Linked DNA regions of Tamandua tetradactyla. The protein of the gene in region 3 purifies or fractionates together with the protein of the main gene of each other region. This does not show direct contact. Links are inferred from orthologs where the notes say so. Each region holds a gene or a part of one and is shown on either strand. Other genes may lie near its edges. The genes, in order: BTBD9, KLHL9, USP25 and KCTD10.

Region 1 (7,036 bases), on a different chromosome or scaffold from region 3:
CCTCTGGGTTCCAGCAACTTTTCCCAGGGTGATTTCTTTCCATATATCCAAAGCCCTGGGCTGAGCTGTGAGTGTTGAGATGAGGTATGCTGAGCTGCTTGGGCTGTGCTATGTTGAGCTCTCTCATTTAATCACCAGATAATTAAATCAAACATCATTCATTACAGCAGGCACGCCTCTAAGACTGCAGACGTAATGAGCAACAGATGATGTTCATGTACCATTGGCTCATGTCCACAGCAACAGAACTAGGTACCTTCACCTGGCCAAGTTGACAACTGAATCTAACTACCACAATAGTCATAGCCAGCTCTCAATAAATATTTGCTGAATTGTTAAATAATACACATTGCTATAAATCTTAGGTTAGCAATTCAACTTCATGTTTATGCACCAAAGTAATTTATACATAAGATGATATAAATACAGACCAAGGGTTCAATATACAGCAGCAGCACTTTAATTATTCTAAAATCTGTTTATCTTTTTGTCAATATGTTTAAGTACCCTTCTTCAGATACATTTCTTTCCCAAAAGCATTATTTGTATTTGTAACAGAGTCAGTAGTAACTATGAACCTCAAAGGTTGCTGTTAAGAGATTATCCAAGCAAATCTGTGTCACTGAGCTGTGGCTGGTTGACTGCTTTGGTACAACACTTCATTTAATTTCCAGTGGAATAGCCCATGGACATCCAGCAGATTTTAGAAACTAGGACGTGCACTACTGACTAAATATATAAGATACATGCACATTAGTGAGGTATTTATTCCAATTAGCAGTTGAAGTTAAAAGTACACAGCGTGATTCTGGTTCAACCATAATATCCTTGAATTTCATTTAAAAATAACACCTATTCTCATCCAAGACTTTACTCTGAGTAAAGCAATCCCCATCTCACCCTACAGGGAGGCTCCATCTTGTGATGGGTGAGATGCTGACAAGTCTGTCTTACTCCTTATCACTTTCCCTTCCCAACCAGCTAAACCTTATCTGCCCTATCATAGAACTTTTGCTCCAGGTACCTGACACATAATTCTCCTCAGTATAATCCCCAATGGCCAAATTCACACTATTTTCTCAATGTACGATTTCTCTTCTGTATTTCAAATTTTATACTTCTTTCAAAGATAAGTTCAAATCCTACCACTTCCAAAAAGTTCCCTAATTCAGTTCACACAATTCTTACTTTTTTTCTGAATTTCTACTGCACTTAAAGTATAGTCCTCATAATCTGACACTTGTTTACACACTACCTTATATGTTTTTTTAAATTCTTTTATATAAATATGCTTTTTTCCCCCAGCCAGACTGTTTGTTTGTTTGTTGATTGGGTGCATGGGCCAGAAATCAAATCCAGGTATTCTAATAGCTTGGCAGACAAGCATTCTACCACTGAACCACCTGTGCACCCAACTGTTTGGTTTTAAAGGAAAAAAGTGAGGTATTCTCTGTCATTTGTAATCTTACAATCCTCCCACATTTAGCATAATACTAGATAGAGGGAACACATTTATTAAGTACTGACTGTAATAAATGCTTTCTACACATGGACCCGCCATTTGTGCACAATGTGATACATAACAAATATCTATTGCATGCCTACTCTGTGCCAAACACTTTTTTAGGTACCGGGGACACAGCAGTGAAAACAAACAGACGTAATTCCTGTCCTCAAAGTGTGATAGTCCAGAAAGAAAGAGACATTGAATTTTGCTAACTCTAAGTATTACAGAGCTGAGTTTTTATGGTTCTATGATGTAAGAACTTAGGCAACATATTTTACAGATTCTTAGTTATGAAACGAAATCATGAATTTTAGAGCTGAATAAAATTTTGAAGTCATTTTCTTCAATTTTCTTGCATAAATAATGATTAAATTTCATTACACCCTATCTTTTTGTTGCCTTAATCAACAGAAAATGAGAAGACTGGTTTCTTTCCCATCTTTAATACTTTTCCTTCCCAAAGATGGTAGCTAAAATTACCACACATCTACCCACAGGGTAGTCCCATACACTGAGTAGAGATGATGGCTTACTGAACCTTTACGCCCAAGCTTCTCTGATTATTTTCCACCCCATAGGTTGGTCATAATTTGTATTTTCTGACTACTAAATAGCAAATCTATACTACTTTGAGGAAGAGAGAGAAAAGATCTTCCATACTTCGTTTGCCCTAAAAATGACAAACGAGAAATAAAACAATAGATTTCAATCTATGAGCAAGTAAGAAATGAGGATAGATATGGGTCCCTTGAACTCAAAATCCGTGATGACAATATGACAGATAAAGTTTTATGCGAGCATTAAGCACGTGCACATACATGTGAACTTGGAAACCAGGCAACAGGTTGGCCGCCTATACTGACAGATCGCCTTGCCCAGTCGTGGGCGTGTCTAAGACTGCACACAGTCAGTGATTCACAACTCTCCATAACAACCAGCTCCTGCTCGGGACCCAGACAGGGCAGGGATGATGAAGGTCCCAATAGTCCCCAACTTTCCGAACCCGAACCTTAGTGTCCCTGGTTCCGCCTCCTCTCGGTCCTGGACAATCTTATCTCAGGCAGGATGCGAGGTTTTGCTAAAAACTAGGGTTTCTCCTAATTCGAACTTCTGGTCGGGGGCCTAGCAAAGCCACCCTAAAGTTCCCAGACCTTACTTCCCTCCCCTCCACCCAAGGTGGCAGAATCTGCCCCTTGCTACCGCTTCCCAGAGCCTTCGGGTCAGAAACTGACCCTCGTCAGCCCCCGTCTTCGTTCCTTCCTCGCGCCCGGAAAAGCGGCAGAGGGGCGTGGAGCGGCGCGCGCGGGTGCGAAGTAGGCGCGCGTCCCCGGGCCCCGGGTCTGGGTAGCAGGTGCGGCCAGCGCCTGTCAACCCTGCGAGACCCCCAGCTACTCACCCCTACTATGTTCCTCTGAGACCTAGCCGCCGGCACAGATCTCTCTTCCGCCTGCTCCGTGCCCTCCTCGTAGCCACCGCCCCCCGGGCCGCTGTCGTCACCGTCACCGCCGCCGCCGCCGCCGCCGCCGCCGCCGCCACCGTCGTGGCGCGCGTCCGCTCTCACGCACACCGCCGTGGCCGCGCACGCGCCTCTGCGCGCTGGCGTCACTTAGCAACCGCTCGACCGTGGGCGGGCAGGGTCTGAGGGTTTAGAGCGCAGAAGTTCCCTCAGGCGGTGTTCTGCGGCTTTTCCCTACAGGTCCGACCCTCTACCCCTACGGAGCAGGGGGCCCTCGGGTGTGGTTGACCTGCTGGCACCTGCCCCCGGGTAAGTCACGTCACCACACGTCACTGTATGGTGTCACTGGTGTGCGTCACTGCGCATGGAAAGGTCCCCACCGTGATTGTCACCGCGATGTTCCAGGGCTGGTGTGGTGGAGAGAGCCGAGGCCTCGTCCAGACTCACGCCGACACCATCGGCAACTTCAGCAAAACGCAAGAAAGTTCTCAAAACAGAAGGACCAGGAGAGGGGCTGAGTGCGCCTTTAATATTACTCGTTAATATGTTGTGATACTCCTTAATTTAGCAGCAGGTTATGATGGACAGAGCCTTGAATTTGGATACTCGCGCCCACCCTGGCAATTTATCATCAACGGTGTTAGGCAAATCGTCTAATCACCCATACTCTTAGTTTCCTCATTTTTTAAAGTGGGAATAATAATATGCGTTTTGTCAACATAGGAGCATTGTAAAGCTAAAATGAAGCAAGGTGCAAGCGGGCCTCGTAAATTGGAAAGCCCATTGGACTTTAATTTTTATTATAAGAAAAGGCAATCGAGCAAGAGAGGTTAAGAGTATGGACTTTGTAATCAGAGAAACCTGGGTTCAGATGTGGCGCTGACCGGTTTTAGCCAGTTCTTCTTGAGGCTGGGAAGGTGTGTGTGTGTGTGTGTGTGTGTGTGTGTGTGTGTGTGTGTGTGTGTGTAGGGGGATGGGTGGGAGGAGTAATTGGAAAGGAGATCATTCCAGGCTTTTCTTCTTGAGGCTGGGAAGGTGTGTGTGTGTGTGTGTGTGTGTGTGTGTGTGTGTGTGTGTGTGTGTGTGTGTGTGTGTGTGTGTGTGTGTGTGTGTGTGTGTGTGTAGGGGGATGGGTGGGAGGAGTAATTGGAAAGGAGATCATTCCAGGCAAGGGAAGAGGGAAGTTTCGTGAATAAAGGCACAGAAGTGAAAGTGGACAGAAAGAACAAAGCTTTAGGCAGGGAAATCGATTGGGATTGTTTGTGGTACTCCGGACAAGAAGTGATAAGAGCCTTAACCAAGGCATTGACCCTGGAAATGTTGAGGAGGCAATGTGAGGGCTATTATGGTGGTTGAATGGACATCACTGAGTGGGGGATAAATGAGCAGGCCAAGTTTCTAGAATGGATGTTGGAATATATGGTGGTAACATTTAGGAAGATGGGAATAAAGATGAGTCTAGGTTATTCACATGTTTCTTATCTAAATTATAGATAGTGATGGTGACATTCCTAGAAGGATGATCAGATTTCTGGGGTATGATGATGAGTTCAAATACGGATATCTTTGTTGGGGAAACACTTCTCCACTCAAGATGTCTTCTTCCATGTTGAACGTCATCCATTAGTACAATACTGACTTTTCACAGTACTTTGCCCCCAACTCTCTTAGGGCAGAGTGACTTCCTGACTGGTGAATTTGAAAGGAGAAACTATACACAGCCAATTCCCTTCTTTTCCTCTTAGAAGAAAGCTGCCTTCAGGGAGCTGTTGTGGTGTTTTCTTCTGCTTCTCTAGAAGTAGGGCCTGGGGTTGAAAGTGAGGCTTCCTGATCCAGGTTGATGCAATGACTAAACCTGTTTAGTTTCAGAGTTTGGCATTAGGAAGTTCTCTGTCTGCAATAATATTCAATAGCAACTTTGTCAGTTGTGATAAAACTGAATAATGGGCCCCAAAAGTTGTACACTTTATAATCTCTGGAACCTGTGAATATGTTGCTCTACATAGCAAAAGGGTCATGACAGATTGGGAATTTATCCTGTATTGTTTGGGTGAGTACAATGTAGTCATAAGGATTCTTATATAACAGAGAGACTAGAACATCAGAGTCAGAGAAGGAGATGTGATGGAAGCAAAGGTCAGAGAGAAAGAAATTTGAAGATGCTGTGCTACTGATCTTGAAGATAAGGCCCAGGAAACCAGAAAGACTCTAGAAACTGGAAAAATCAAGGAAACAAATTCTCCCCTAGAGCTCCCAGAAGGAATGTAGTCCTGCTAACACCTTGTTTTTAGGACTTCTGACAATCAGAACTGTTAGATAATAAATTTGTATTGTTTTAAGCTACCAAGTTTGTGGTAATTTGAAACTACTATATTCAGTAGTAAAGGTGGTAGTTAGTCTCCTGTATTCTCTGTGTAAAAGAAAAGTATAATTTATTTGCCTCTCTCAGTGTGACTGTGGCTTGATAGAACTGATACATCCAGTTGTAAATACACAAGAAGCAACCAAACTACACAGTTCTATTAATGAAGAAAGAAGTCTGAGTTAAAATAAAATAGATTTGGAAGATATTAGCCTATAATTTAAGCCTTAGACGTGAATGAGATCAAGCAGGGAGAAAACATAGGAAAAATAATAAAGGAGATCAAGTATAGAACCCTGGGAAGATGAGCAAAAGCCCACAAAGAAGTCTGAGGAAGAGTGGCCAGAAAGATAAAAGGGGAACTAAGTTGAGTGCAGATGCCTCAAAGCCAAAGTAGGGAAAAAAATTTAAAGGTGAAGAGGGAGTCAGAGTCAATTATATCAAGGGCTGAAAAGCATTGACTGGATTTAGCAACAAAAGTGATTGGTGACCAAGAGTAGCTGCTTCTCTGGTATAGTGGAGATAGAGGGCAAATTGCTGGGATCTGATAAGGCAGGCCAATATGGTAGATTGTCTTCTGGACTGGTTGGTGGGAGTTTGAGATTCTAGTCTTGGCTCTGGCCATTAAAAAGCTAGATAACCTTCTGTAAATCACTTAACTTTCCTGGGCTTTGGTGTTCTCATTGTCAAAGGAAATGATCAGGCTGAGTCGTATCATTTTCGCAGTAATTCCTGAATAATCCCCCAATTTTATGTTAAATTCATTTGCTTATAAAAGCACACTTCAAATCCTACTCATTTTACCAAACATTGAGAGCCAGTTTATACTATGTGCCAATTTCCGACCAGATACTATGGATACAACACAGTTATTTAAAAAGCACACAATTTAGGAAGGGAGATAAACATATAAATATTTAACTAGATACAATAAGTACTTTTTGAAACAAAGCAAGATATAGATTAAAGGAACTATAATTATACTAGAATTCTGTATAAAATGAAATGGACTATAGATGAGGGAGCATTTAGTTCTGCCTAATGGAAATCTAAGTATTGTACTTACCTACTCTGTCAGATAGGTAAAATGTGCCTCAAAAAATAGACAAAGCTATAGGCCATTACATGGGAATGAAAAAGACCAGGGAGCTGTATGTGCTAAGCTGATTGCTTAACAGTTCTCACAGGTAGTTTTCTTGAAATCTGAATGAATATGTATATACAGTTCTTTCTAAACTAAATAAAGCAATTAATTGGGAAAAAATGGACAGACGTAAAAGTTTAATGCAAAAGTAATTTATTTACTTTTCAACCAGTCCAAGAAGAAAATAATACTTTTTATTATATGCTCTGTTATATTTGCTACTCTAATTCTTATTATATTATCTCACATAATTTCACAAACATTACCTTACTGTATCAACAGCTGACATTATATCCCTGTTTTAGCAGATGGGGATACAAAATTTACAATGATAAAGCTTAAGGAATTTAGCCAAGGTCATTACAGCACTTAAGTAGTAGACCAAGATTTAGATCCAGCATAGGTAGCCTCTCTCCAAGAAACCTTCCCTCAGGGATTCCTCAGCAAGTTTAAGTGGCCTTTCTCTGTACTATTAGTAGTATGTGCCCACCTTTCTTTTAGCATTTACTGTACTAGTGATGGTACTACAGGACTGATTGTAAAAGTTCAGAAATGAATAGCACAATA
Region 2 (7,811 bases), on a different chromosome or scaffold from region 3:
GCTATACAAACAAAGCTGCTATGAACATTCCCGTACAAGTCTTTGTGTGAACATATACTTTTGATTCTCTTTTGTAATTATATTGAAGTGGAATTGCTAAGTTGTATGGTAGTTTACCATTTTAAGAAACTGCCAAAATTTTCCGAAGTGGCTGTACCATTTTCATTCCCACCAGTAGTGTATAAGAGTTTCACTTACTTCGCATCCACATCAACAGTTGGTATGGCAGACTTGTAAACTGCAACCATTCGAAAGTCCTAGTAGGGGTAGCTCATAGTTTAAAGTGGCACTTTTCTGATGACGATGTTGAGCATCTTTTCAGATGCTTATTTTGCCTTTCATAGAACTTCCTTGATAAAGTATCTCTTCAAATATTTTGTCAGTTTTTGGGAAGTTGTTTGTAATCTTACTTTAGAGTTGTAAAAGTTCTAAAGTTCTAAATCTAAGTACTTTTTTGAATAAATGTGTTTTCTAAGTCTGAGTCTTTTCATTTTTATAACAAAATTCAGTGAAAACATTTATAATTTTGACTAAGTACAACTTATCAGTTCTTTTGTGGATTTTTCTTTTTATATTATTTCTAAGAAATATTTGCCTTACCAGTGGTCACAATTATTTTTTTCTTTTTGACATCTTATGGTTCCAGGGTTTGTAATTAGGTCTGTGGCCCATTTGAGTTATTTTAGTAGATGGTATAAGGTACAAATAAGATTCTTCATTTTTTTGTATATGAATGTCTACTTGTACCAGCACTCTTTTTTAAAAAATATTACCCTTTTTTAATTGGATTGCCTTTACACCATAACTGAAAATCAATCAACAATATATGTGTGGCTCTATATCTACATTCTTGTCAGTTCCATTGATGGTCTAACTTTACTCCACAAATAAAGGAATCTGGAGGAAGAGAGGGACACATTGGTTGGTGGTGGTGACGAAATGATATGGTGAATGTCTGTTTTTCAGTCTTCAAGTTTCTTGCCAGAATTCAGCTGACTTTTGTCAGCTGGTCAGCTCCCAAGAGACAGGTGTTCTAGTTTCAAACTATTTTATAGAGAAAGACCTATAATATTCTTGTATAGGTCAATATTGAGAAAATGAAGGAATCATTTTTTTTTAATTTATTAAAGTGCTAACTCTAATAAGGGATTATCCTAGGTGCTTTAAAATGTACCTGCATCAGTTCTAGATGTTTTTTTAATCTCATTTTCTATTTGAGAGGACTGAAGCTCAGAGAACTTGAGATGTTTCCGAGCAGATTGGGGGTTCCAAGCAGAATCCCATGAGGTGAGTTAGGGAATGAGGCTCTAAGTTTTGTATTTTGGATTTCTGTGATTTTTATAATCTACTTTTTACTTGCAGAATTATTCTCCTTCTCCCTGGGCTACTGCTGCTGCTGTTGTGTGTGTGTGTGTGTGTGTGTGCATGTACGTATAAGTATAGCAATGCTTGAACATTTAGAAGAAACCTTGGTTTAAAGTTCTGCTTTTGCCATCTTCAGATTCTTAATAGTTTTATCTTTGAACTTGTGTTTTATGAGTAAGTTCATGGGAAAATGGAGCACGCAGATGAGCATATGGAGATGGTCAGACAGCAGTTCTTGCATGTCCTAGTCTTTGTCTACTATTGTCTTCTGGAAAGAGAATGCTTTGCTAAGTAAGTTTAGGGGAACACTAAAGATTATGGCTTCTTGCCCTGCTACTCACTTTAAATATACTCTTCTGGACCATCTCATACCAAGCTGGGGCATCAGCACATAAGCGTGGCATCTCAGCATGGTCAGCAAAAAGGAAACCTTGAGGCTGACAACTCTGCTGATCTGTTTTCTCTTCTCTGATGGTCCAAACATTATGGCACTGAGTAAGATAAGGTAGTTCCATAGTCAAGACAGGGGGTGGATCACCTGGCCTACAGACTGAACACACAAAGCTATAGGGAAACTGAGTCAACAAAGAGGGAATATGGCTAATTCTCTTTTGGCTAGGCTAAAAGAATGGATCTTGTGTTCACAGCTGGAGACTGTGATACAGTAATGGCAGGAGAGATCTCCTTGAAGACCAGATGCCACCAGCACATGTAAAAGGTCCATCATGGGGTGGGATGCTCACAATGTCAGAAGGATATCTGAAACATTCTCATAGTTTCAGACACTAGTAGGGAGAAGACGTAGAAGGAGGAGTCTCTGAGAGATGGAGCAATTTTATCCAAGATAAACTAAAAAGCATTTAAACAGAGCATTTGAAACATGGGATCAGACTAAATTTAAAATAAAATTGGGTCCTCTGCCTGGTGCTGTTGCACACCAGGCCAGGCTCTCAGCTGCTCAAGAACAGTTCTGGCTGCTGCAACCAGTGCATGTGCCCCCTCCAGATGGCACTTAGCAGGCGTTGCTCAGTTTCTGAATTAAGAGTACAGATAACCTGCCTACCAGCACCAGCTGTACAAAGAAACTCTGGTCAGTTTGTCTTGATGACAGGTTTGGCTTAGCTTTTCTGGGACGTGATAATACCCATGTTGAGGTTAGCATGGCCAGTGATGGATGTGAAGTACATCATTTTGATCTTAATGTAAAAATAGTTCACATTCTGTAGAGTTAGCACCTTTGGTATCTCTGCCTGTCCATGGGCTGCCCATCCTGCTGTTGCTGCCCTGAAACACCAGAAAACTGGGAACCATCTTGAAGAAATTTAGGCATCACAAGATTGATATTCTCAGGACAGATCTGGAAAGTGCAGAATAGAATGTTTTGGGAAATCTTTATTTTAGAAGATGACCTTGAACAGATTGGACAGCTCATCTTCGAGATCCATCTCCACTGGCCCAGGTTCAAGGTCAGTGGTAGGGACAGCAGTGTCATGTGCTTTTGGTACAGACTCCTCTAAAAGTTGGAACAATAGGATGTGCCAGGCTTTTTCACAGTTATAAAGACATTTAAACCTCAGCTATTCCTGAAGAAGACATTTTTAATGCAAGTAGTAGTTATAGTCTGAGTTGGGTGAATATGAGATGGAAATAGAATGTGGGGGACACATCAAGAACCCAAGGAGATATTTGCAGAGTGGAGCATGTCTTTGGTTCTAATTGTCTGTTTAGTTGCCTAGTCTCCCACCAGCCTGCTGCCTTCTCACGGCAGGGATTATGTTATCACCTCTGTTGTGCATATAGCCTGGTGTCTGGCATGTGGTAGGAGCACAGTAAATACTTGTGGAAGGGATAAACATGGGAAATGCTGAGAGAGTCGAAACCGCTTACCCACACCCAAGCTCTTTGCCTTTTTGCTTTTGAATTGGAATTACTGTACCAAAACATGTTTCTAAAATTGGAACTACTGTACTCTAAGAAATACTCTATTTGTGAAGTCCATTTGTAAAGCCAACATCAATCTCAGTCTCTTCAATAATGATCATAATTTTTATACCATGAAAGCATTGTAGCATAGCAGTAAAGAGCAGAGGCCCTAGAATCAGACAATATGAGTTTGGATCCCAGCTCTCCCATTTCACAGTTGGAAATTAACCTTCTTTTCCCCTCAATCTTCTCATTTTAAAAATGGAAATAAATTTTTCCTGTAAAATTGTTGTGAGAATATGTAAAGCATGTAAAACGCCTGGAATTTAATAAGTCCTGAATATTTTTCTTTGACTATTTTATAATTGGAAATCTCTTTTGAAATTGCCATATCTTTAGTGACTAATTAAGTTGATTTTTTCTTTTTCTTTTTTTTTGCATGGGCAGGAACCGGGAATTAAACCCGGGTCTCCAGCATGGCAGGAGAGAATTCTGCCGCCGAGCCACCATCCCACCGCCCTAAGTTGATTTTTTAAAATCTATTAACCATTTGTCTACTGACATTAAAAGAGCATAATTTCATGTTGTGGAAAATGTTGGAAGAAATAGTGTCAACGTGTTCATTCATTTGTATGCCAAAATTTTAACTTACAGTCACGTATAGAAATGCAAATTAATAAAATACCATAAAGGCAAAAATCGGCGGCGTGGGGGGGGATGCACACTCCAATGTTGCTGGAAACAATAATTTGGAAAGATTCATTATGTCTTCAACTAATATCCTACTGTTAGGATTTATCCAAAACCAGGGGAAAGTTTTGAGCCCAGATTCTGTAAGTTTATTACAGATTCTATACAATGCACAAGAATGTATAGACCCAGAAACAAATATTAGGCAAAGCTAACAATAGCATATAATTGTTGGAAAATTGTGTAGCCATTTAAGAAGTTGAGAATGAAAAACAAAAGCATGAAAACATGATGGAATTGGGAGCGAAAAACTCGATATATTATTTACATAGTATGGGGACAATTTAGTTTTCAGACAGGCAAATTATATGTGTTTTAAATGATTTAAACCCGAAAATATGAACAAAATTATAACTGAAGTGGCAGTTAAATTGTTTGGGATAAGAATTACAAAAGTGTTTTATAAAGAAAAAATATTTAAGCCTCCTCTTCCCCAACCCCTCCTCTACGAGGTTTCCTTTCAATTTACCGGAGAGCCGTGTTTCACTGTAATTAACACGACAGAAACCAGGAAGTGTAAACCTTAAAGAAAAAGTATGCATTTGGAGAGAGAGTTCGGATGCCGCGAGAGATGTATACGAAGTGCGGTATAATATGCCCGCCTTAATCGAGTCCCTCCAGAGGGGCATTTGCGGAGAGCCCGCTTCTCCCCGACGCCCTCCCCGCGTCCCGCGCACTTCCCCTCCCCTCCCCTCCCCCCCACGCCCGCCCACCGATGAGCTCAGACGGATGCGCAGCCGCAGTGGCTGCCGCGGCCGCTCCTAGCCCGGGGCATCCTGGGATTCTGCCTTTGCGGAAGGACTGGCTCAGTGTCCCGGATTAGGCCCGTGTTCCAGGCCCAGGCCGGGAATTCCAGGCTCTTGTTCGGAGATAGCCCCGCAGGCGCGGCGACGGTCTGGTGACAGCGGAGGGCGCAGCCGGCTGCACGCCGAGGTGCCCGGCCTCGCCGCTGAGCGAGCCGCGGAGCCTCTGTACGTGGCGGCGCCTCCCCCTTGGCCTGGAGCGGAACTGCTGCGGGAGCGGCTTCGAAGGCCGGACGAGGTGAACCGGGTCATTTAACTGCCGTCAGGTGATGAATCATCAGCATAATATTCAGATTTGAGGTCCGCATCCCTTTGTGGTCCTGCTACAAAGCAGTTTTCAGTGGATGACTGACAGAAGTGTCCTGAGGGGCGCCACAGTGACTGTTCTTGATAAAGAAAGAGAGCTCTCCCGTTTCTTGGGAGACAATCTTGATTCCTTTAAAACGTTGAGGTTACTGCCTCTTTCCGGGAGACATCTCTCTGTGCAAGAAGGCGGCTTTCACATGAAAGTGTCACTTGGTAACAGCGAAATGGGTGTTTCTGCCCATTTGCAGCCTTGCAAGCCAGGAACCACACGGTTTTTTACCAGCAATACGCACAGTTCAGTGGTATTGCAAGGTTTTGATCAACTTAGAATAGAAGGATTACTTTGTGATGTGACCCTGATACCAGGTGATGGAGATGAAATCTTTCCTGTTCACAGAGCTATGATGGCGTCTGCTAGTGATTATTTCAAGGCGATGTTCACAGGTGGAATGAAAGAACAGGATTTAATGTGCATCAAGCTTCATGGCGTGAACAAGGTTGGTCTGAAGAAAATCATTGATTTTATTTATACTGCAAAACTTTCTCTTAATATGGACAATCTTCAGGACACACTTGAAGCTGCCAGTTTTTTACAGATTTTACCTGTTTTGGACTTCTGCAAAGTATTTCTTATATCAGGGGTCTCTTTAGATAACTGTGTTGAAGTTGGACGAATTGCTAACACCTACAATCTTATAGAAGTGGATAAATATGTTAATAACTTCATCCTTAAGAATTTTCCAGCATTATTGAGTACTGGAGAATTCCTAAAGCTCCCATTTGAACGGCTTGCCTTTGTGCTTTCCAGTAATAGTCTGAAGCACTGTACTGAACTTGAACTCTTCAAGGCTGCTTGCCGCTGGCTAAGGTTGGAAGACCCTCGGATGGATTATGCTGCAAAATTGATGAAGAACATCCGATTTCCACTGATGACACCACAGGACCTCATCAATTATGTGCAGACAGTAGATTTCATGAGGACGGACAATACCTGTGTGAATTTGCTTTTGGAAGCTAGCAATTACCAAATGATGCCATATATGCAGCCAGTAATGCAGTCAGACAGAACTGCCATTCGATCTGATTCAACTCACTTGGTTACATTAGGAGGAGTGTTGAGACAGCAGCTGGTTGTCAGTAAAGAATTACGAATGTATGATGAAAGGGCACAAGAGTGGAGATCTTTAGCCCCCATGGATGCTCCTCGTTACCAGCATGGCATTGCTGTCATTGGAAACTTCCTTTATGTAGTTGGTGGTCAAAGCAATTATGATACCAAAGGAAAAACTGCTGTCGATACAGTTTTCAGATTTGATCCTCGGTATAATAAATGGATGCAAGTTGCATCATTAAATGAGAAGCGCACATTTTTCCACTTGAGTGCCCTCAAAGGGCATTTGTATGCAGTTGGTGGGCGCAGTGCAGCTGGTGAACTGGCTACAGTTGAATGTTACAACCCAAGAATGAATGAGTGGAGCTATGTTGCAAAAATGAGTGAACCTCACTATGGCCATGCTGGAACAGTGTATGGAGGCTTAATGTATATTTCAGGAGGTATTACACATGACACTTTCCAAAATGAGCTCATGTGTTTTGACCCAGATACCGACAAATGGACACAGAAGGCTCCGATGACTACAGTCAGAGGTCTGCATTGCATGTGTACAGTTGGAGACAAGCTCTATGTCATTGGTGGCAATCACTTCAGAGGGACAAGTGATTATGATGATGTACTAAGCTGTGAATACTATTCACCAACTCTTGACCAGTGGACACCAATTGCTGCTATGTTAAGAGGTCAGAGTGATGTTGGAGTTGCTGTCTTTGAAAATAAAATCTATGTCGTTGGTGGATATTCTTGGAATAATCGATGTATGGTAGAGATTGTCCAAAAATATGACCCTGAAAAAGATGAATGGCACAAAGTTTTTGACCTTCCAGAGTCACTTGGTGGCATTCGAGCTTGTACCCTCACAGTTTTTCCACCTGAAGAAAACCCTGGGTCACCGTCTAGAGAATCACCTCTTTCTGCACCTACAGATCATTCCTAGGAGTAAGGTGTAATACTTTTGCAATGGATCATGGGTGATCTCATATTTCTTCTTTGGTTGTATCTCTTCTTACAGTGATTGGTACAGTTATAAGATAAAAAGGTAACTGATGTTCTCTGTGTTGTTTGTCTTAGTATATGTAGGAAATGATTAACAAGTGTATTCTGAAAATGTATTCAGTGTAGCCAGCTGTTTTAACAAATGTAAAGAGATGTGTTTAGAATGTTTAGACGCCTTTTTTGTTGTGCTGTATAAATCAAATCGGAGGTTATTGCAGTAAATGAATGATTATGTGCATTATGTATCAAATTTGAAAGTTTTCTTTTCATCTTTGACTGCAAAATATCAAGGGAGGCAGACTCTGCAACTGAAAATAAGCAAAAGGTTGCCAAGTATTTTTAGCTACCTCCCTCTTTTCAAGGAGTTTTGCCATACTTTATCAAATCACCAGATTGTGTGGGCACATTCAGACTATGTGAAGTTTCTCAGCAGACAAAAGAAATAGTAAATTAAAAAAAAAAACAAAGCAGTTTAGCTCTAAATCATGGATCTTGTATCTGTGGAGAGAGAGAAAGGTAGATGGGGGCTACAATATACTAAATTAACAACCAAA
Region 3 (7,839 bases):
TACAATAAAGTCTCTTTTTCCACAGAGATTTCTAGTGAATAGAACTATTTGATGGTCCATCACAAGTCAAATTTATACTTAAAAGTGAGATTCTGAAATGATCTGAAAGTTGTTACATATATTGATTAAATGTAAATAGACATATTCTTTTAGATATGAACTGTAGAATGACTAGGATAAATTAATGAACTTTCTGTGCATTTTCGGCAGACTAGTAGTCATGGAACTTTGCTCTCTTTGTTGACAAATACAGAATATTAACATCTGATTTTTTGTTTCATAATCCAAATTGTTAAAACATAATAAAGTTCATGTCAGAAACTCAGGAAGGGCTTCCTAGTATTCCTCTTCCTTACTTCTTAATGCTGCCATTATAATCTTAGCAGCTGTGATTAAGAACAGAACTAGACCACTAAGAGTTAAGGTGTTCAGTACCATGGCGTGGCTGGTAATCACACATGACAACTTAAATTTCAATTTTAATTAATTGAAAATATTAAAATTCAATTCCTGGGCGGGCCACGGTGGCACAGGAGGCAGGAATGCTTGCCTGCGATGCCAGAGGACCCGGGTTCGATTCCTGGTGCCTGCCCATGTTAAAAAAAAAAAAAAAATTTCCCCCCAAGTTAATATATAAATGTAGTGAAGCCTCAATAAAAAATTTAACAAAAAAAAAATTCAATTCCTAAGTTGTGCTAGTCATATTTTAAATGCTCCAAAATAGTCTGTATGTGACTAGTGCTTACTATGTTGGGCAGTGCAGATAATAGTACATTTCCATCATCACAAAAGTTCTATTGTAAAGCACTTTTTCATAGAATTTGAGTTCTGTAGCAGTGAGAAGATCAGAAAAGTAGTAACACTTTATGGGAGGGAGCTGGTTGATTGAGGGGAGAGGAGATGGAAAAGTGGAGTGGGAAACATTTCCAATCTCCTTACTGAGCATCCCTCTATTCATATCTGCCTTTCTATTTTTTTTTTCAATTTTTCAATTAAAAAATAAATATAACAATGAACAACACAAACGTTCTTAGCATATGATCATTCCATTTGCCTTTCTCTTTTAACAGCATTTTTAATCTTCTGATGGCCTAATTTTTTTTTTTTTCCAAGCCATTCAGTTTGCAAGTTTTTCAGTTTTTGTATAACAGCTTTTTCTTTTAGTTGTTTCCATCTGGTCATATTCTCATTACCTCTTCTTAAACTCTTGCTCAACCCTTTAACTCTTCAGTACAGAAACAGAGTCCTGCTCATGTCACTCCCTTGCCTTAAGAAATCTTTGCTGGTTTTAAAAATAAACTGGGCTTTTTTTTTTTTTTTACAAGTCCCTTCCCTAGGAAGATAATGAAAAAGGTGGAAGAACATTGTTTTTCTTCCAGAATCCAAATCTTTTGTATAGAGAATTGTAGTTGAACTAGGTTATGGGTTATATGGGCTTTTGTGAACTAATTCGGAAACTTTATTTCACTTAATATAATATTATTATGGGAAAATAAATTATGAGTTATACATAGCATGTACCTTTGAAGTCTAGTTCAGTAAGTTGATGACTGCATTTATTTTTGGAGTTGACTGATAAATATTTGGTAGTTGATTTTTAAGCTAGTACAAAGGTATTTCCTTGGGAAATAAAATATTTATTATGGTGAGTTTTGTGTTTTGATGTTTATTTCTGATTTTGCAGAGAAAATGTTTTACTTTAGGCACTGTTGAAAATGTTGGAGATTACTGCTTATATGCTTTTGTAATGCTGCTTATATGCTTTTGTAACATGAATTTTCTACAAGTGTTATCCAAAAGTAACGCTTCCACACATGCATCATTGAACTGTGTTACACTGATACCAGAGGCAGTGGTGTTTTACCAAGAACCTACCCTGACACAGGTATAAGAGTTTCATAATGCTTTGGTATTTGAATGGGACTTTTACAGAGGCATTTTTAGTTAGCAGTTGTTTATGGCTAGCCTTATTTATTCTCTGTCCCTTTTTGAGTATGAGCATATAAGAAAATCATGGGATAGATTTCATTCTAACATTGTTGCAGCATTCCTTGTTTTAGAGAAATCATTGCTTCATTATTTCCAGAGAATGAATTCAAGTTTAACCATTCTGTATGAAAAAACATTTTGCACTTTCTTAATATATGGTCTTAAGAGCAAATGTTTTTGGTATATGAGTAAGGTAATAATACGTTTCTTTCAGGCTTGTTATACTAATGTGAAAAGAAGCAGCTCTATGGAGTAATGGAAACATGGGAAAAAATCATTGTTGATTATAGTGAAACTGCAAATAATGAACTTCTACTGCTTAAAGTATAAAGTCCCATCTTGTCAGTTAAGAATCAATAGTCCCTTGTCTTCTCCCTGCAAGGCCAGGGCAGATAATATCAGTGTGTGTGGCAGGTTCTGTGTAAGACAGTAGGTTGGGTTGGAGATGGGGGCAAAAAAGAGACGGAATATTCTGTCTCAAGGAAGCTATTGCTTCTTAATTTTGGCTTTAAAGCACCATGGTTTTTGCCATGTATGAATCATGTGGTCAGGGCTTTTTGATCTTAAGACCCCTTTACAGCCTTAAAATTTATTGACTTCGAAGGCCTTTTGTTTATATGAGTTATTTTGGTCAAAATTTGTGGTATCAGAAATTAAAACGAAAGTTTAAATTATTCGTATTAAAATAATCCATTTCATGTTAGCATAAATAACACATTTTTAAAAATTAATTATATTTTTATGAAATAAATTAGGGGTATATTATTTTATATTGTTGCAAATCTCTATTGTCTACCATAATAGAAGATAGCTGAAGTCTCAGATATGCTTCTGCATTCATTCTGTTGGGATGCATTGTTTTGATTAAAGTATATGAAGAAAATCTGGTTTCATGCAAATATAGAGTTAGAAAAGGGAGCAGTACTTGTTCAGATAAAAATATTCTTTCTTAATTCTATATTAGAACTTGATTAGTTGCAATGTGTAATCAGAATCACATATATCATCTTTTCTTACTGTTACGTTAAAATCCATTGTCAGTTTTGCCCTTTGAATAGATCTTTTGCCCATGCGTGATTTTTTAACATTGTGCATGTTTATTGGAAAATATTTTCTTCCAACTGTTGGATAAATATCTATGGTCTAAAAAACATATCTGTTAATATCATCACTTATCTCACCAGATTAAGCCTTAAGTGTTGTGGAGACATCAAGCATACTGGCAGAGGAAACAAGTTTTCCAAAGTTCAGATTTTTGCTTTAAATCTGGAAATTAATCATTGACAACAAGCACTCTCATTTGTTTTCTTTAAATTGAATGTGTTACGTTGTCTGTTTTCGAGAAAATGTTTTCCTAATACTCAAATCTGAACAACTATAGTTTGTAGTTTTCATGGAAGTAAAAATGGCGTTCCATGAAAAAGCAGCTAGTTCACCTTGTACTCACACATTGTACTAGTGTTTTTTTGTTGTTGTTGTTAGAAATTCACATGCTCTAGATATACAGCAGAAGTAGTTTATACATACTTTCTATTGCAACACATAGACTTAAAAGAACATGTAAGTCATAATTTAATAAAATTGATTTTTGCCTTTTCATCAAGAACATTCTTTGGTGAAACTGTTTTGTTTTGCTTTTTAATAGTGAGTATGCATGTATGTAATACAGTGGATACTCATACAGTTTGGTGCTTCTGCCTTTATTTATGCTAAGTTGCAGCAGTTTACCTACTATTGTTTTTTATCATCTGTACATATGTAACCACAGGCACAGAACATCTTAATATTATTATCCCATCCACTTAAATGTAAGGTAATAACAGATATTTTTCTTTTTTCTTTCTCTTCACATTGTTTTGTAACCTGTTACCTCTCTCCTACGTAATAGTTTTCCACGGTCCCTATCATTGTTTAAATGACAATGGGAATATTTCTTATTGTCATTTTATGAGTTAAAAATGTTGATCAATATATATTAGAAGATTGGCTTAAAAAGAAGTTTTATATAAGGTGGTAAAAGCTATAGACTTTATTTTTTGTAAGAAGAAGAGTAGCATTAAAGCTACTTAACTTTTGTTGAAAGAGGAACAATTTCATTTATTTGTAAATTTCTTTGTTTTCACCTGAAATAAAAGTTTTGTTTGACATAAAAAGGACTGCATGATATAAAACAATTCAGATGGGGCAGAAGTATTTAAAATAGGAAATGAAAGTTCTTTACCTTTTCATAATTATCTTCATTGAAATTAACCACACTTAACAGTTTGACATTTCGTTTCAGAATTAAAAATTGTATATATAAGCATATATCTGTGGTCAAGTAGTTTCTGAAACAGTTTTCAAGGGCTCAGTTGTTAATTATCATAATTTGTTAAATAATGTTTAAGTGGTAGTGTAGACAAATTGTAATGTTAATGTCTTTGAAAAAATAGTTGCTAAAGCTGATGAGGTATTTAATTGTGTACATTTGGGTTAATTTTAGAACTCATAGATATAAATATTTAGTTGTGTTGATTTCAATTTTTGTTGGTAAGGAAAATGTCTGCTAGTCTTCCTTTTAGCTTCTAGTCAGAGATCATAGAGTAAATCCTGAGATTCTTCTGCAATGAAGAATATTTTTGTTGCTTCAGATATATTTTAAAGAAAAAGATTAATTAAAGTATAACCAATTTAAAATGTTTTCATTCTCTTCAGAGAGGCTCTTATAAAGAAATACAGAATTAAGTTGATATTGACTTTGGTTCAATAGCATATATTTGATATTTGATAAGAATTACTTTTCATTTTGTTTGACTTTTAATTTTGAGAAAGATAATTTTGCTTTTCAGATGTCATTGATCTCACTGGAGATGATAAAGATGATCTTCAGAGGGCAATTGCCTTGAGTTTGGCAGAATCGAACAGGGCATTCAGGGAGACTGGAATAACTGATGAGGAGCAAGCCATTAGCAGGTAAAAAGTATAATTTATATAAAGCAAATGTAAATACTATAACGGAAATAATAATTGGCTTTAATTTTAAAAGGCAATAAGATATACTTTATTACTCTAAACAACTATTAATATACTTCTATATTACTTTTATGTTTTATGTAACCAAAATTTTCATATTTTAATTCTGATTGTGATTGAAACTTTACTTTTAGGATTTGAGAGTAGTCTTTTAGAGGATTAAATTTAAGACTGTGTTTTAATAATTCTCCATTTTTTTCTTCCCTTTAGTTCCTTTTTGGATATACTGACCAATTTCAGCTTCCAGTCATTATTAACAGGGGTGTTTACTCTTAAGGACCAAGAGTAAATATTTTAGGCTTTGGTGGGCCATATTCATTTTGTTGCATAGAGGTGAATGAGCAGGACTGTGTCCATTAAAACTTAATTTATAACAACAGCTGCCCGCTGGGTTTGGCACCTGGACTGTAGTTTGCTGACTGGCAATCTGTAGTATGTTTATAGAGTATTTTCTTTTTAAGAAATCCAAGCTGTGTGATATAGTGTATTTTTTAAAATTTAATAGCCTAAACTTTTCACTTTGAAGCAGTTTGATTCACCTATGGATCAAATAGATGAATTTGGTTTCATCACTAAGAAATGTTTATTCTATTTTATTTTTTTTATTAATTTAAAAATTTTTTTTAAAATACCAAAAAAACACCAAACGCAGACATTCGCAATTTTTGATCATTCCATTCTACATATGTAATCAGTAATTCACAATATCATCACATAGTTGCATATCATCATCATGATCATTTCTTAGAACAATTAAATCTATTCAGAAAAAGAAATAAAAAGAAAACGGAAAAAAATTCATGTATACCATATACCCCACCCCTCCCCCTCACTGATCACCAGCATTTTACTCCAAATTTAGAAATGTTGATTTTAAAAAAACGCTTTAGATTATAACTAAGTATAATCTTCTAAATAGCTGTTGTGGGCAGTGATAATTCTATTTTACTGAAGAAGAAATTTAGCTTAAGAGGTAAAATGATTTTCTAAAGAAGCACAGCTCATATGGATCTGTTCGCTCCAGTGCTTTTTCACTGTAACACAATAGGTTAGTAGCAGAATGTTCTAGTTTTCTCAGATAATATTGACACCATATCAATAGCAAATTTTTTTTCTAAATAATCTGAGATTACTTTATGGTAGGAGATAACCTTGAAATGCTTCCTTTAGCAAAGTCATATTCTTTATAAATTTTAATTTTACTTTTTAATATCTCTAAATATTACTTTGGAAACTTGTAAGACATTTATATTAAATGGGAAGATGTAATTAAAATTTGTTGTCCCCCTTTGAATTGTAGCTAATATCATTTAATTTTAATGTAAAACCAAAAATGTGTAGTCAGTCTTTCTTGGGCCATTTTAATTAGTTTTATTTTGTGAAGGGTGGATAAATTATATAAACTAGATTTTGACTTTTTTTAAGAAGTGAATGGAATGAAATAATTCTAGAACAGTTATATAGCCTGACAATGTTAAACTTTGATGACAAATATTTTAAACATGAAATAAATCAGTTGGATTTTATATTAAAGAGAAATGATGATGTTATGTGAAAAAGAGGTTATAAAATAGAATAGACTATGTAATATGCAATTCTTTTTTTTTTTTTTTTTTTTTTTTTTGGTGCATGGGCAGGAACTGGGAATTGAACCTGGGTTTCCGGCATGGCAGGCAAGAACTCTGCCTGCTGAGCTACTGTGACCCGCTCAGCAATTCTTATTTTAAAGATTATGTGCTTATTTTTGTTTATATGAATTTATATTAGCATAAAATAGAAAAAATTCTGTAAATGTATGTACCAAATCAGCAGTTCTGTTTTGTGTGTTCTCTAATAATCTGGAAACAGCATGTAATAGAGAATAAAAGGCAAAGCTAACTTCAGAGTTGAAAGATTAAGACTATTTTCTAATCCAGTATTGTTTATTCTAATCTAATACATATATATTGTTTGAGATCCTCATTTTTGCTGGATTGAAAAGAAAATCTCTAAAGACAGTGCTCTTTTTCATTCATTGTCTTTTAAATTTTAACTTACTTTAGTTAATCCATTTTTACTAATATTTAAACATTTTAAATAGTTAAATCAAAATATTAATTGCTAAAATAGTAAATATTTAAATATCTTTATTGTACATGATGTTACAGAGATTCAGCATCCTGTAATATTACTGAGATTACTGGATAGTAAAGTTAAATCAATATGTATGAAGTTAAATCTATGTGTATATTTAAAAATTTGTGACTAAATGTTAAATACAAAATGTGTGGTTGATAAGCACATATATAAATAATATTGTAGCAGAAAAAAGAATGTGAAAATTTTAGCTAAAAATTTGGCAAAGAAGTATTGTTCCTGTGAGTTTTATTAAAGTATAGTACTCTTAAGTTCAAAAGTAAAATAAAAATACTTAATCTATCCTAGTCTTATATTAATATAAATTAAAAAGCTAAAGATGAAAAGAACCGTTTCAAATGTATATACATCAAGATGCCAAGGTTATTATAAAAAATGTACTTTAGTTATAAATGGTAGATTATGTAAAATTAATTTTGTGTCAGCTTTATTTGCTTTCAATGAATTTGCCCAAATCTAATATTAAACATTGAAAAGACTCAAGTTTTAATGACAAAAAGTTCTATTTTCCCTATTAAAAACCGGTTTTATTTTCCCTGTTAGTACATAATACCCTGTTTTTAATGCACAACTTCTTTTTAGGATAAATTTGAATGTATGGATGATTAGGTTTATTTTACACAACAGTCATAAGACAGACTTTTAGTACCCATATCTGAAGGTAATTAAATATGTATTCAAATTCAACTAAGATCCAAGAAG
Region 4 (7,937 bases), on a different chromosome or scaffold from region 3:
AAGATACACAATGCACTTCTTTTACTGGACTCAGTGTCATCTGCTTTAAATAACTCATCAATCTCTCTCCTAGGAAGGGGATGGGTTAAAAAAAAAGATATTTTAATTAGGAGCTCACAGTAGCTGGAAGGTTTTTCAAGCACTCTTAAGTGAAAACTCACATATTTACTGTTAATTGAGAGCAAGAGAAAAATACACTGAGGAGCTCCAGGTACCCACCTGATTTCTCTCTGCAGCTTCCGCCGACAGAGAAAACTCCGGACATGGGCCTGAATCTCGACAGCCGCCCGCTCCCGCTCCTTCTGTACGAGCCTCTCTTCTCGGGCCTGGCGGGCTCTATCAATGAACCATGCTCTCGAGGTTTGTGATACGGTGAACATGTTTGCAAACCTTCCACAAACCCTGGAAGGAAATCAGCAAGTAGCTGCTGTAGAATGTTATATGGAAAACACCAAAAGAAGAGGGCTCAAGAAAAGAAGGTGGGCAGACCTGGGCATCAGCAACGAGGCTCTCAGGACTCTCAGTAGTCTCCAAGGTTTAACAGCTCTCCTGGCACAAGTCTCAACTTCCTATTAGCTCCTTTCATGCAACTCACCAAGACCAGGGATGCTTTATCCAGGATTAAAGAATTGCATTTTCTTAAGAGAGAAAGAGCCTGTCATGCCAACTACATTCCAGCCAAGACTACTCCTGGTTCACTGTCTTAAATGTGTCCTAGCACATCACCTGACATAGGGTATGTGTTCTGTAAGGTTTAACGGATGAATCAATCACACCGATAAAGCTTCAAACCAAGTTCTAAGTCAAAGGCTCCTAGATATTTGATTTTCCTCAAGCAGTCAACAATATTTGCAAAGCCAATACTGGGCAGTCAAAGTCTTTATTTTTTTTGCCAATTAAAGACTTTGGGAAAAAAATCAAACAATTTTTTTCTGTCAGGTTGAAAACTTTGTCATTCAATCCTAAGTCCACTCTAGGTCCTGCTTGAAAAACACTGCATTGAATTATTCAAAAATCCAGACTTCCAGAAAACAATCTCTTTACCAGGTTATTTCATTCAAAGCAGCACCCACATGAAAACACCAAAAGAATAAAAAAGCTCGTGCTAGGCTACTCCCACATCAACATGTCGAGAAATCTCTGTGGCACCTTTTCAACACTGAAAGACAGTTGTGAACAACAATAGGGCTTTTCCAAGATGCGGATCTTTCATCAGAATTCTCAGAGTAAGATAACAGAGCCCTGACCACAGAAGAGGCAGTAAGAAGACTAGGGAGGAAAAGGTGGTCTTCTGAATCATTTACTCTTTTTTGCCCCAACAATGTAAACCTGGAAAGCTTACCTGAGGATCTGCCTGCGTTGCAGAAATGCCAGGTAATCATTAGTGATCTGGCACAGGACGCACAGCTGAGGACAGCTTCTCACTTCAGAAGGGCTTGTCTTCTCTGGCAGAAGCAAAAGTAAAATTCTATGTTTAGGACTGTTTTACAGGTGAGGCATCATATATCTTCCTCACTGAGTAAAAGTAATAAACGCAGTGCTTGTTTTCAAAATAACCCTTCTGTCTTTTTTAGTTAGCCTCTCACTCAACTTTTAGGACTGTGTGCCTGCAGTCCTCACAGGTCAAAGGGAACGGGTTGAAAATAGTCCCAAATAAAGTGGCTTCTTTTTCAAAATCTGAATTAAAGCTTTATATTCCTTGTGACAGCAAGCAAGAATAACACTTGGGGGCAATGGAATGTTTAAAAAGCCATTTAAAACTATGTTTGATATTTTTAACAACATGGGAAAATTGTTTAGGCTTTAGAAGTGGAAAAAAAAGGGCTGGTTATGAATCAATGATCCCAATTAGATAAATTAAGTGAAAGATGCATGTGTATACATAGATACACGACTAGGATGAATTACATGTTAAGGGTGGTTGTTTGGGATGGTAGAATTGTGGTACATCTTATTTGCTCACTTAACTGGTCTCTTATTTTCTAAATTTCCCACAGAAAGGACAAGATGAGGCAACATGGCACAGTGGTAGGTACACAGGCTTTGGAGTCACACAGAGCTAGAACCAGTCCCTAGCTCTGCCAAGTATGGTGGAGAGACGTCTCAGAGTCTTCCTGTCTTCTGTTAATTGCAGATAATAGAAGTTAGCTCAATTACAAGGCTAATGAGATGATGAACATCAAATGCCTATTGAGTTAGCCAACAGAGGCAGACAGTAAATAAGTCTGATGTATTATTCTTATAGACACAGTCTTGTTTTTTTTTTTTTTAATGCTTCAGCAGAGGCTCCCATCTACACAGACACTCGGGTTCTTTGAGTAGGAAATGATGCAGAACCCCCCACCATTCCTTGCCCCATCAATTTTTTTCTATTTCTGGGTACACCAAAATTCACCAGCCCCATTGCTTGAGCTCATGAACCCTAGCCTTTGTATTAGACTTGGTAAAAGCTTCAGGTTCCTGAGAGTTGCAAAAGAACTGAGCACAAGTCACAAACACAATGGTGTGCTCTTACACACACAGTCCCTCCATGGTGGGGAAAGTGAAGTCAAGGGGGAAGAAGGAGCCTCCTCCAAATGGAAAAACAGGAGGTTGCATGCAAGTTACGAACAAGTACCTTTAAGACTATCTCAAAACCTTCACTTCTTCCAGGGGGCCTTTCAGGATAAGATCCCTTCCTTCAGATTATTAAGCCCTCAGCAACACTCTATTTTGGTTTCTATTTATACCACCCAACAGTCTATACTGTGCAGTGTTTCTAATTATTTTTTATTTATCTCCTCAAGCCACATAGCACCTACTACAATTCACCAATCAAATAAAACACACAAGTATCTATAAAGTACTTACTCTGCTAAATACCATGGGGAATGACAGACAAAGGCTTTGTGTAGTGGAAAAAGCCTTGGATCAGCGAGTGTAGTCCTTGGTTCTCTTTAGTCCTGATTCTACCTCTTATTTTATCAAGTTTCTTATCCTTTCTAGGCCTCAGTTTCCTTATTTGTAAATGGAGGGTAATAATATTACCTACCTCCTAGGGTTGCTAAAAGAACTAAATGAAGTATTTACCCTTTTTCTACTTCAATTTAGTTACCACAGTACTGTGAATAGAACTAAGTGAAAATATTGATAAGGGGAATCTGAAAGTATAAAGCATGAATGTGAGCTTTATTATATTGTTCTCAGGAAGCTTAAGAAAATCCAGTTGGGAAAACATGAATTACATAGGTGGAAAAATTAGGAAACAAGATATTGGCAAAGGCCAAAATCATTTGTAAAGCAAGAGGAAACCAAGTTGAGTATTCATTATGTGTCAAGACCTTTTTGAGTGATCTCATCTATTAAGAATGGCAACCCTGTGAGATCATTTATCTCCCTCAGTCCAAGTTAAACCACTAGTGGTGGCAAAGTCAAGATTTTAACACCTATCTCTGAGGACAGAACTCAGATTCCTCTCTGCCTCTATATTCCCATGAGAACTGCCCAAAATAGGCTTTTCTGGGTCCAAATGATTGTGGATACACAGAAATGAGGCCAACCTTATGGAGAACTACAAAAGAGCATGGAAGTCCAGAAAGTATTGTTCAAAACGGAAGTGCCATAAATAACAACCGCTGATTGAGCCCAAGAAGAGACTCCCTGAATGGTGGGAATAGCTGGGTAGCCAGATTTATCCACCACGATTTAAGGGACAACCATGTACCAGACACCATATAGATATTTAACCAACCCTGTCTTTTCCACAGCTATCAGGTCCCAATAGTCTTTTCTTTTTTATTATTATTAGGTAACAGGGTTTAGACAGACTATTATTAATAGCTATCATTTAATGTAGACGACAGTCTATCGAGGTAGGTACAATTATCATTTATATTTTCTCACGGGAAAAAAAGAAATGCAGAGAGGACATGACTTGCCTGAGGTCGCCGGGCCCTTGAATTTGAACCCACTTCTGACTCTAAAGCAATTTTATTTATTTACAAGTGCAACAGACAAGGCTCAGAGACTCCCCCACTCATATAATAGCAAGGCTGTCCCTGGGATCAAATTGAAGTCAAATTACGATCAAGTCCAAAATGTTCTTTATTGATATCATTAACAGCTGTCTTTATTGAGCACTGTGTGCCTGGCACGATACTTAAAGCGTATTACGAACCGGCTATTACCCTACATTACAGAGGCGGAAACTGAGGCTCAGAGTGGTGAAGAAATTCGGCCAAAGTCACACAGCGTATAAATCAGTTTGAACTCCGGTTTGGGTGTCTCCTGAGACCTGGGGTTTTTCCTCGGCATCGAAAAGCACAACAGCAAATCCTTTTCTGTATTACGTTTATAAAGGGTTATTGCCCCGGAGACCACACGAGGTGGAAAGGGCCGCGGAAAGACTCCCAGGAGCTCCAAAACCACCTCCCAACACCTGCACCTCTGACCAGGCAGGCGGGGACCGGGCCCTGGGGCCAACTCCCTTTAAATCTCCGGCCCCACGGCCCGGAGTACGCCGACTCTATTCCCACTCGCTACCCGCCAGCCGTAGACCTTTACCCGCTCGGGAACCCCGCGCTCTGGGTCGGAGCTGCAGCTCCCGTCGCCTCAGCCCGATCCCCCCGAGTTCTGCCAGGCCCGGGGCCGCAGCCGAGGTTTGGCCGCCATCTTGCCCCAGAGAGTCCGCGCTCAGAGCTCCGCCTAGACGCAAGTATCCAATTCCGGGAGACTACAGTTCCGCATAGCCTCTGTGCCCGGCAAGGAAAATACTCCCGGCACGCCATCCTCTTATCGGAAACTGAAAGAGAGGAGCATTTAAGAGTCGGAAAAAATGCCTGAAACGAGAGGAGTGGGATCTATTCCGGTCGGGAAAGCGGGCTGGAAAGCGGCCCATGTCTAGGAGCACAACGGATGCTTTAAGATGGTGCCCTCAGCGGGGCGGAAGTGGGGTGGGGACAGTAGAGGGGCCCGCCTCGGCCGCGCCTCCGCTCCGGCTCGCGCGAGCTGGGTGTTTCCTGCCTCCCGCAGTCCGGGTGTGGAGACTCCGGCGTCCTCCGACTTTTCATGGTGAGGAGGACCGTGCCCACAACTGGGGGTCCTGGCTGGCCGAGGGAGCCTAGCAGTGGCAGAGCAGAGGGGAAAGGGACCGGGAGGAAAAGGCGCGATGAGGGGCGGTCGCGGTCACTGTAGGGGAGAGGCAGTTGGGGAATTGGATGAGGGCGAGGCCGGGGCCGGGGGAAGGGCTTTGGTGGGGAATTGGAGTCTCTGCGTTGGGGATCCGGAAAAGGGCGTTTTGATTTGGAATATCAAAATCAAATTTTTCATAGGTGGGTGGGTGAGGGCGGCGTCTCTCAGTCTTGCGTGCGTGTTGGAGATGGAAATTGGTGGGTGTGAGGAGAACAAAGAGATGCTATTGGAGACGCGTTTGGGGGAGTAAAATGAGGATTTGGGCGGGGGGAAGTTATGGAGAAGAAAGGATGGGTTATGAGAGAGTGAAGTGGGAATCCTTGGGGCGGAGCTGTAGGGGGTTTTAGAGGTTGTAGTAGGAGCGTCAGGGTTTCAGGGAAGTGGATATTGGAGTTCCAGGTGAGGCTGGAACATATGGATGAGTGGATTGAGGGAGTCGGAGGGTGGGTGGCGTTCGGTGCTTGGACCCCCAGGGAGAGATGCCAGGGGCCTGAGGTCAGTCTTTCGTCCCGAAATCCGGCGCCTTAGTTGTGTCCCGTATATCTATCTAGTCGCTTCCGGTGAGGCTCCGTGTGGCCATACCTGAGGAGCTGAGAATATTTTACATGCTGTCTCAGCCCTGGGAAGGTTTGCTTGGGGCTTTTCAAGAGTCTGTTCTTTGAATAGCTTGTCGTCCCTTAGTGGGAACAAGCAAAGGCCCGCCCGGATTTTCTTTTTACTTGTTTTCTCAGAGTCTCTTACTTGGGAAAGTGCATTCTTTCGGGAAGGTGAGTCCCAGAAAAAGAGTCAACTTGAGACGACTTTGATTGGTCGTCTTCATTTTGTACAAAGTAAGGATTGTTAGAGGGGAAGGAGAAGGCATAAACCAGTGGTTCTCAAAGAGTAGTCCCCAGATCAGCAGCACCATCACCTGGCAACTTGTTAGAAATGCATATTTTCAGGCCCTACCTCAGACTCCTGTATCAGAAACTCCCGTGAAGCCCAGAAGTTTGTTTTAACAAGCTTCCAGGGAAAAAAAATGATTTCCTGATCTGGACTATGTAATGAAAGGATCATGAAATTTGGAGTCAGAGGCCCCTTATTCTAATTCTCATTTGAAAAGTTGGATCGATGGTAATGTCCTCCTCACAACACCATTTGAGAATTAGGCTAATACATTGTGTGCTGCACACAGGAAGAGAATGTTGCTCAGCAGAACATCTGGAAATAAGAATAGCTGTCATATAAGCAGGTTTTGGATGCAAAATAATGCTGTAGTTATGTAGCTAATATTAGTTTGGTTAAAATGGAACAGAGTTTTCTGAGTTGTAGAAATGCTGTCACCAAAGTGAGTTTTATAGTTAGCCTCCAGACAATGTCTCTTACACTTCCCTGCTGAAAGAATCAGCTGAACTCTTTTTTTCCCATCAATCTCTCATGATTCTTAGATCAAGCTGGGTAAAGAAACACTTTTAGCTTAGTGATGCACAGCCCTGGCTGCATGATAGAATCACCTGAAGACCATTTTAAACACTAGCTACTGGGCTCCCCATTTTTATTCAGTTGGTTCTGGGTGAAGCTAAGGCTTAAGTATTTTTAAAATACTTAACATGCAGCGAGGCTGAGAACTGGTTGTAAGGAAAGCTTGAGGACCAGAAGGGAAACTGCGCCAAGGACTGTGTGCCAAATATTTTAACATTCATTCCCTGAGGGTTATAAAGATTATGGCTCTAAGACTCCAATTTTACAAGTTAGGAAACTGAGACTCAGGTTAAATTTCTTGCCTGAACTTCACACAGGAATTGATGAAACTGGGACTGCAGTCCAGGTTTGCCAGACTCTGGATTTAAGGATATTATGTAGAAAACATCTAAGGGGCCAGGGATTTGGAGCCTTTATATTCATTTTACTTAACTGGGTTTCCTTTGAAGTTAACTGTTTTTTTCTCTTCAGTGGGTTTTTATATTTTAAGCATGCATACAGTTACTCCTTGTCTTTGGCTCCTTTGTCTTTGTGAAGTAGAGGCTTACTTTTGTTTACGGTGCTTTGGTTTGTTTTTATATGTGGGTCAGGGATTACTTGTCGCCTTCTTAAGGGGAACAGAAGGGTTTTTTTGGGCATATTTTTTTAATTTTTTAAAAAAATATAACAAACGCAAACATTCTTAACTTTTGATCATTCCATTCTACATATATAATCAGTAATTCACAATATCATCACATAGTTGCATATTTCATCATCGTGATCATTTCTTAGAACATTTGCATCAACTCAGAAAAAGAAATAGACAACAGAAAAAAATTCATTCATGCTATACTCCTTACCCCTCCCTTTCATTGATCACTACAATTTCAATCTAAATTTATCTTAACATTTGTTCCCCCTATTATTTATTTTTATTCCATGTTTTACTTGTCGGTTGAAAAGGTAGATAAAAGGAGCATAGACACAAGATTTTCACAATCACACAGTCACATTGTGAAAGCTGTATCATTATACAGTCATGTTCAAGAAACATGGCTACTGAAACACAGCTCTACATTTTCAGGCAGTTCCCTCCAGCCTCTGCATTACATCTTGACTAACAAGGTGGTATCTGTTTAATGCATAAGAATAACCAAATCACACAGTCACACTGTGAAAGCTATATCATTATACAATCATCTTCAAGAAACATGGCTACTGGAACACAGCTCTACATTTTCAGGCAGTTCTCTCCAGCCTCTGCATTACATCTTGACTAACAAGATGATATCTATTTAATGCATAAGAGTAACCAGGATAGCCTC

What was found.
Region 1: the proteins of USP25 (region 3) and BTBD9 purify together in Homo sapiens (affinity purification with mass spectrometry; 3 studies listed by BioGRID and IntAct, counting the BioPlex papers as one, with this or other methods). This does not show direct contact. The link is inferred for Tamandua tetradactyla from reciprocal best matches to the Homo sapiens genes USP25 and BTBD9.
Region 2: the proteins of USP25 (region 3) and KLHL9 purify together in Homo sapiens (affinity purification with mass spectrometry; 3 studies listed by BioGRID and IntAct, with this or other methods). This does not show direct contact. The link is inferred for Tamandua tetradactyla from reciprocal best matches to the Homo sapiens genes USP25 and KLHL9.
Region 4: the proteins of USP25 (region 3) and KCTD10 purify together in Homo sapiens (affinity purification with mass spectrometry; 4 studies listed by BioGRID and IntAct, counting the BioPlex papers as one, with this or other methods). This does not show direct contact. The link is inferred for Tamandua tetradactyla from reciprocal best matches to the Homo sapiens genes USP25 and KCTD10.

The regions. Positions count from the first base shown.
Region 1 is NC_135331.1:95,853,266-95,860,301, forward strand, and holds the start of BTBD9 (BTB/POZ domain-containing protein 9), read right to left. Parts: upstream 3,016-7,036; 5' UTR 2,904-3,015; intron 1-2,903.
Region 2 is NC_135328.1:75,144,001-75,151,811, forward strand, and holds KLHL9 (kelch-like protein 9), read left to right. Parts: upstream 1-4,800; 5' UTR 4,801-5,185; coding exon 5,186-7,198; 3' UTR 7,199-7,766; downstream 7,767-7,811.
Region 3 is NC_135336.1:73,295,040-73,302,878, forward strand, and holds the start of USP25 (ubiquitin carboxyl-terminal hydrolase 25), read left to right. Parts: upstream 1-4,827; 5' UTR 4,828-4,941; intron 4,942-7,839. UniProt on the Homo sapiens protein: Deubiquitinating enzyme that hydrolyzes ubiquitin moieties conjugated to substrates and thus, functions in various biological processes including inflammation and immune response.
Region 4 is NC_135331.1:21,938,911-21,946,847, forward strand, and holds the start of KCTD10 (BTB/POZ domain-containing adapter for CUL3-mediated RhoA degradation protein 3), read left to right. Parts: upstream 1-5,046; coding exon 5,047-5,049; intron 5,050-7,937. Other genes in the region: UBE3B (ubiquitin-protein ligase E3B), read right to left, coding at 1-69, 220-402, 1,343-1,443, 1,969-2,019. UniProt on the Homo sapiens protein: Substrate-specific adapter of a BCR (BTB-CUL3-RBX1) E3 ubiquitin-protein ligase complex. The BCR(BACURD3) E3 ubiquitin ligase complex mediates the ubiquitination of target proteins, leading to their degradation by the proteasome.